Mus musculus: one gene and its partner. The protein of the gene in region 1 interacts with the protein of each later gene in a biochemical or structural test. Links are inferred from orthologs where the notes say so. Each region holds a gene or a part of one and is shown in the gene's direction. Other genes may lie near its edges.

The links.
Region 2: the proteins of Glg1 (region 1) and Sele form a complex in vitro, tested with the Homo sapiens proteins (2 studies listed by BioGRID and IntAct). The link is inferred for Mus musculus from reciprocal best matches to the Homo sapiens genes GLG1 and SELE.

What each region holds. Positions count from the first base shown.
Region 1 is NC_000074.6:111,189,428-111,193,249, reverse strand, and holds part of Glg1 (Golgi apparatus protein 1 isoform 2 precursor), read left to right. Parts: intron 1-522; coding exon 523-726; intron 727-1,988; coding exon 1,989-2,060; intron 2,061-3,822. UniProt on the Homo sapiens protein: Binds fibroblast growth factor and E-selectin (cell-adhesion lectin on endothelial cells mediating the binding of neutrophils).
Region 2 is NC_000067.6:164,051,036-164,054,829, forward strand, and holds part of Sele (E-selectin precursor), read left to right. Parts: intron 1-501; coding exon 502-687; intron 688-789; coding exon 790-978; intron 979-1,421; exon of another isoform or gene 1,422-1,929; coding exon 1,930-2,118; exon of another isoform or gene 2,119-2,500; coding exon 2,501-2,689; exon of another isoform or gene 2,690-2,782; coding exon 2,783-2,959; exon of another isoform or gene 2,960-2,985; intron 2,986-3,581; coding exon 3,582-3,692; intron 3,693-3,794. UniProt on the Homo sapiens protein: Cell-surface glycoprotein having a role in immunoadhesion. Mediates in the adhesion of blood neutrophils in cytokine-activated endothelium through interaction with SELPLG/PSGL1. May have a role in capillary morphogenesis.

The sequences.
Region 1 (3,822 bases):
ATTTCTCTCCCTTCATGTGTATACCAGGGATTAAATATAGAACATTAGGTTTGGTGGCAAATCACCTTTACCCACTAGACCCATCAGTTGTCTTTCAAACTTGACTATAAAAGCACTTTAACTTGTAAATATCTAACTCTTAGAGGTAAATGAGTAGGTACTTTTGCAGTATTATTTCAGTATTCACATAAACTGTGCTTGTAACAATAGGTTATTTTCTCATGAATTTCTTGCCAAAAGCAAGCGCAGAACAGCCAGGTCTACACAGAGAAACTCTGTCTCAAAAAAAGAAAAAAACAAACAATTTTTTCTAGCTATACATGTACAAAACTAAATAACTGATGTAATTTAAAAATTTAAAGCCTACCGCTTTAATGGGGGGAGGAGGTATCCTAACATTTAAACCATACTAATTCATTAACTGTTGAGCTATCTGTCCAGTCTCTCTGCACCCGTTTCTTTAACTAAATGTTTATTTGAATACTGTAGGGTGAAAGTTTTTAAATATTTTTGCTATTTTAGGATGCACATTCACAAGGTGAGGTGGTATCATGTTTGGAAAAAGGCCTGGTAAAAGAGGCAGAAGAAAAAGAGCCGAAGATTCAAGTCTCAGAACTCTGCAAGAAAGCCATTCTTAGGGTGGCTGAGCTGTCCTCGGATGACTTTCATTTAGACCGGCATTTGTATTTTGCTTGCCGAGATGATCGGGAGCGCTTTTGCGAGAATGTGAGTTACTAAAAAGCTGTTTTTCCTTTCTTTTCAAGTGTATCTGTATTATTGTATTCCAGAATGAAATATACCAGCACAACCTTCACCAATAGGAAAACAACGGAAGCAGAAGATGGAATTAATCCCAAGATACAAAAAATAGTATTGATGCTCAGTCTTGAAGATGTAACTTCAAGTTAACAATTTGTTTCTGACACTCAGTATATACATTATTTTTTCTTCTTTCCCTCATCTTTCATTTTTTAGGTTGGTTGGTTGGTTGGTTTTTATACTCTCTGTATAGCCCTGGTTGTCTTGGAACTCACTATTTAGACCAGGCTAGTCTCAAGTCATCTGATTCTGTTCTCTAAATGCTATGATTAAAGGTGTAGACCACCATGCTGGTGTCAGTTGAAGACTGATCTGTGGTGCAGAGGTGGGACACCGCTTTAACCCCAGCACTGAGGAGCAGCGGCTATCACATCTTGAGTTTGACAGTTCTGTTCTATAGAAGGGATTCCAGCACAGCCAGGGCTACATACAGAGGCCTTGTCTGAAGAAAAACAGAAAAAACAAACTCTATTTTATCTATAGGAACCTTACTCTACCAGGAAGTCCTGTTCATATCCTATGGCTAAAGCTCTGTTACATTACATTTTTATATGGTTTTGATTAAGGTTAATAAAATAGATGTGACTGGATGTGGTGGCAGGGGCAGGTGGCTCTTGTGAGGCCAGCCTGGTCTACAGAGTGAGTTCCAGGACAGTTAGGGCTACACAGAGAAACCCTGTCTCAAAACAAACAAACAAACAAACAAACAAACAACAAAAGGGAAAGAGAAATTATCTAATGTTAAAGCCAAGTCCTTGGATAGAGCCTGATGATTCATTAGACACCTCTTAGTTCTTCTCTGTCTACATTTCCTTCCTGCTTTTCTTCTTCCTTTGCTTCCTTCTTTCCTTTCTGTGCTGCAGATTGAATGCAGTACCTTATACATGCTGGATCCCTGATCTTTGTATACACTTTAGCACTATCTGTCTTTTCTGACTCACGTATGCCCTCCCCTTCTGCCTGCTGTTTTGAAATTTTAAAATTAACTATCAGAGCCACTGATTATAAAGTTTTATTGACTGTGGTATCAAATTGTAAGAGAGTCCCTCTGATAATGTCCTTGAGTTTTTGAATTAACAGTGTATTTAATAAAAGTTCTGTATAAGACTGGATATATCACAGCAAAACTACTTAGCTAATAGTAATAATATGTATGTTTTATCTTATAGACACAAGCTGGTGAAGGAAGAGTGTATAAATGCCTATTTAACCATAAGTTTGAAGAATCCATGAGTGAAAAGGTACCTCTTTGAAAAGAACTAAGTCTTACTAATTTCATAAAGCTTTCACAAACTCTTGCTTCCTTTTTTGGTTTAGGTTTGAGTGATTGTTTCTGGAATACAGTCTCATAGCCCGAATTGGCCTTAATCTCAGCATGGAACCAAGGAATTTCTTGAAATTCTGATCCTCCTTCCTCTGCCTCCTAAGTGCTGGGGTTAGCATGCGCCACCACTCCCAGCTTTCACAGACATGTTCTTATATAGTTTTCTTGTGGTATTTACAAAGGGTTGATTTCAAAACACTACCCACATACTCAAACACCGAGAAACTTAGTGTTTCTTATATAAAATGGCACGGTGTTTGTGTATAACTTAAGCAATTTCTCCTGTGATTTTTTTTTTTTTATTTTATTATTTTTTTTTTTTATTCATTTATTATATGTAAGTACACTATAGCTGTCCTCAGACACTCCAGAAGAGGGCGTCAGATCTCGTTACGGATGGTTGTGAGCCACCATGTGGTTGCTGGGATTTGAACTCCTGACCTTCGGAAGAGCAGTCGGGTGCTCTTACCCACTGAGCCATCTCACCAGCCCCCATCTCCTGTGAATTTTAAATAGTGTCTAGATCTCTTAAAATACCTCACATAATGCAGATGAGGTGCTGCTATAACGAAATTGCTACGTTATATTGTTTAGGGGATAATGGTTACAAAATCATTTGTCTATAGTTAATGCAAACACATTTTTCTTTTTCCCAAATATTTTCAAACTCTGATTCTACAGAATTGCCTTTATCGAGGTATGAATGACTGATGAATTGAGACGTTCTGGGTATTAATGACTGATGAATTGAGACACCTTTGTTTAAGTACATGAAGTATATTTGAATAAACTGGTGTGAGAGCACATGATGGCACTCAGAAGGCTAAGGCGGGGGGGGGGGGGGGGATTTAAAGTTTGAGGCCAGTCTGAATACACAGTCATACTCCATCTTAAAATCAAGTAAAGCCTGGCATAATTGTTTAGAGGGTAAAGGCACATGTCACCAAGCCTGATGACTTTGAGTTCATCCCAGAGCCCACATGATTGGAGGGAGGATTACTCAATCTCTGCAGGTTGTCCTCTGGCCACACACATGCTATAGTACACTCACCCACCCCCAGCGCGCGCACGCGCGCGCACACACACACACACACACACACACACACTATAAATAAATAAATGTAAAAAATAATATATTTGCCTCAAACCAAAAAGGGAGGCAGGGAAGAACCTCTAATCATGATGCCTATATAATCAAATGTTATTTGGGAGTAAAATTGAAGAAAAAAATTTAAGATTTATTTATTTTATTTATGTAAGTACACTCTAGCTGTTTTCAACCATACCAAAAGAAGGCATCAGATCCCATTACAGATGGTTGAGAGCCACTATGTGGTTGGTGGGAATTGAACTCAGGACCTCTGGAAGAGCAGTCAGTACTCTTAACCACTGAGCTATCTCTCCAACCCAAAGAAAAAATTTTACCCAGGATCACATTAATGCTAGCTCTGCATACTCGGGTAGTATAGGCTAACCACACCAATATCCTTCATAGATAGCCAGTTGTTTAATTTTTCATTATTATCTCATTAAATATTCTTATTACTATTAGTCCTGTCACTGAATGGATACAAGAATCTTTCTAATACTTTGGTTTTGTAATTCTAACTTTTGTTTTCTTATATAGTAAAGTATTTACTGTGTTCAGAGTAATAGAAAGTTCTGTATAATAGAACAGC
Region 2 (3,794 bases), on another chromosome or scaffold:
GAGAGAGTGCAAACGCATCTAGACAGCATCGTAACTTTCCCATGGACTTTCCTGGTCGGCTCTCCCATGCAATAGGACCTTGTTGAGCTCTGTACCGCTCAGGGAGCTTCTCTTTGCACGGCAATCTTAGTTCTCTGGAGCAATCGAAAAGATTCGCTGTTTAGGTCTTTTGTATGCTAATATTGTTTTTAGGGTGAGTCTTGGATCTTGATCTAGAGGCTATGGGTTTTGTTGTTGTTGTTGTTGTTTCCATGTGTAGTAAAATAGATCTGAGACCACCCAGCACAGTTAAAGTGAAAATTAATGAGAAAAGATGAAAATGTGAATAGTGTAGTAAAGACTTAAGCATCTGTTATGGATCTGTTATCCATAACTGGCACAGGAGTTTGGGTTATGCCCTTTGAAGATGGTCTCATCTTCTTTGACAAACACTAATTCAAGAGAAAATGAAAGCATTTGTTTTCTTTGAGTAAAACTCTCTCCTCTCTTTCATCTCCTCAGTGGTTGAATGTGAAGCTTTGACCCACCCTGCCCACGGTATCAGGAAATGTTCCTCAAATCCTGGGAGCTACCCATGGAACACGACATGCACGTTTGACTGTGTGGAAGGGTACAGGCGAGTTGGAGCTCAGAATCTACAGTGTACCTCATCTGGCATCTGGGATAACGAGACGCCATCATGCAAAGGTAGGGTTCTTCCAGGTTGAGATTCATCGAACTCTCCTCCTCAACCAAGGCTTGGAATGGGCAAGCCAGCTTTACTAATGCGAATGGGTGCTTGTGTTACAGCTGTGACCTGTGACGCCATCCCTCAGCCTCAGAATGGCTTTGTGAGCTGCAGCCACTCAACAGCTGGAGAACTTGCGTTTAAGTCATCCTGTAACTTCACCTGTGAGCAGAGTTTCACGTTGCAGGGGCCAGCGCAGGTTGAATGCAGCGCACAAGGGCAGTGGACACCACAAATCCCAGTCTGCAAAGGTGAGTAAGAAACTGTCTCTTCTAACGCTTTCATTTCTTTAAAAACAAAAAAACAAAACAAAAAAAAAACCTGTCATCTTGGCCACTGGCGATGACATCAGGTATCGTCTGTTAACTATGATACCAATCGTGAGGGCAAGAGAAATACCTCTGACATTGACTTAAAAACAAAACACATAGCCAGGAAGCACGACTGGATGCAAGTAACATTTCTTTTGCTTGTTTATAAAGTAGGGTATATTAAATATTAATTTACTGGCATTGGCGTAGAGTAAGAATTAGTAACGTATGAGAAATCCTGTTTAAAATGTAAAATTCAGTACAATGAAGGTACTGCTCAGCCCTCACATTGTATCACCCACTTCTGAAGTTCCAAGCTAGCAGTGATGACAGTAGCCCCAGCTTGGTGTCTGTCACCTACAAGGATTGTTTTGACACAGACATAGAAGCAATACAGTGTAATTGTCTTTACGGCAAAAGCAAGAATGTCCAGGTGAGCAGTTTTCATTATGCAGCTCTGGCATCATTAGAGCTAAATTTAGTATTGAGTGAGTTTCAGGGGCAAAAATGCCACAACGCCAAACTCATGCCAAGAGCAGGCAAACCCTGCATGGAAGGCTTCGTCTCTTTCCTCTTCTGGCAGCACGTGGAAGCAGTCACGGCCCGTGCCATGCTCTTCAGTGATGTAAAATCCCATTAACCTCACTCTGCACATCAGACCAGCATGGAGGGACCATATTCTTGCTAATAGTTGCCTCGAATTAGGCATCATTATCATGGAGATATAATATGTGTATCACATAGGAAACAGCCGTTTTGCCAGAAATTCACAATGAAGATCCATCTTGAGTTCCTTACTCATAGCCTTGTGCCAGTTGAACTTTGCCATCAAATGACAGGTGTTCTCCAGTCTCACCATGGTGTTTTCTCGCCCCTTCTCTGGTTTCTCAGCTGTCCAGTGTGAAGCCTTATCTGCGCCACAGCAGGGCAACATGAAATGTCTTCCCAGTGCTTCTGGACCTTTCCAAAATGGGTCCAGTTGTGAGTTCTCCTGCGAAGAAGGATTTGAACTGAAGGGATCAAGAAGACTTCAGTGTGGTCCAAGAGGGGAATGGGATAGCAAGAAGCCCACGTGTTCAGGTACATGCTTTTTAAAAACTATTTCTCTCTCTCTCTCTCTCTCTCTCTCTCTCTCTCTCTCTCTCTATCTCTCTGTCTCTCTCATTCTGTCTCTCTCTGTCTCTCTGTGTGTGTACTCCAAGACCCATATGTGGAAGTCAGAGGACAACTTGTCAGAGTCGATTTTCATGTGGGTCCCATAATATGGGTCTCAAGAATGAAATTCAAGTTGCTAAGATTGGTAGCAAATGCCTTTACCCCCTGACCCATCTCTCTGGCCCCTGCAGACATACTTTAGATTTTACTGTAAGATAGAAGCTATTGAACATCTTTGTGGCTTGGCTACCCTGTGACACCTGCTATAGCCCAATGCTTATATCTTGGAATGGCTTCTCTCTTCTAGCTGTGAAATGTGATGATGTCCCTCGGCCCCAGAATGGCGTCATGGAGTGTGCTCATGCTACTACTGGAGAATTCACCTACAAGTCCTCATGTGCCTTTCAATGCAATGAGGGCTTTAGCTTGCATGGCTCAGCTCAACTTGAGTGCACATCTCAGGGAAAGTGGACCCAGGAAGTCCCCTCCTGCCAAGGTAACACTGAGTTCAGACTCTCATGACACACATCAACTCCGTGGTTTTGTGGTATGGGTTTCTTGACTTCCGCTATGGGCATGTCCTTTGCAGTGGTACAATGTCCAAGCCTTGACGTCCCGGGAAAGATGAACATGAGCTGCAGCGGAACAGCAGTTTTCGGCACAGTGTGTGAGTTTACATGTCCTGATGATTGGACACTCAATGGATCTGCAGTTCTGACGTGTGGTGCCACGGGACGCTGGTCTGGGATGCCGCCTACCTGTGAAGGTAAGGCACTGATGGATGGTGGTTGCCTTGGGGAGTAGAGGGAAGAGGGGTGTTATGTTGCTAAGGAAGCTAACTGTCCATTATGTCCAAATCAGAATGGTAGGTCATAGAGATGGATAAAAAGACAACAGGAAATGATGTCTGTGGACCAGGTAGAATGTTCTGTTCTTCTCTGACACCCCCCTTTCTTCTCCAACGCTCACCACTGACCCCCGCTGTTATGATTTATTCCTTGGTCCTTCTCTGTTCTCCCTTTCTCTCCCGTTATACCTCCCGTTTCTGCTCCCTCGAAGTGGGATTCTGATCATTGGAAAGGGGAGATCTAGAGACAAAAGGAGGAGCAGGAAATAAGTGTGTGTGAGAGAAGGCAGGGGTAGTTCAGTGCTAACCGAGGTATGGTGACGTGACGTAGTGCCAAAGAGCTTTACAAGGCTACGTCCTAACTGGGAGCACGATATGCAGCCTCAACGGCGGTTTGAGAGGAGTTGATTAAATCTTCAATGACAGTAATAAATCTTCTGCTGATAGTAATAAATATACAGAGAAAAGGCCAAACGGCAAGGCCGAAAGACTCGAAAGCCAAGTGTTGCTTATACTGTCTCCTCCCAATTTGTTTCCTCAGCCCCAGTCAGCCCCACCCGTCCCTTGGTAGTTGCACTTTCTGCGGCAGGAACCTCACTCCTGACATCGTCCTCATTGCTCTACTTGTTGATGAGATACTTTCGGAAGAAAGGTAAATTCAGGCATCCACTCCAAAAATGAATTTGAAAATTGTGTGTGTGTGTGTGTGTGTGTGTGTGTGTGTGTATTTCCCCTCACTGATGAGCTGTGGCCA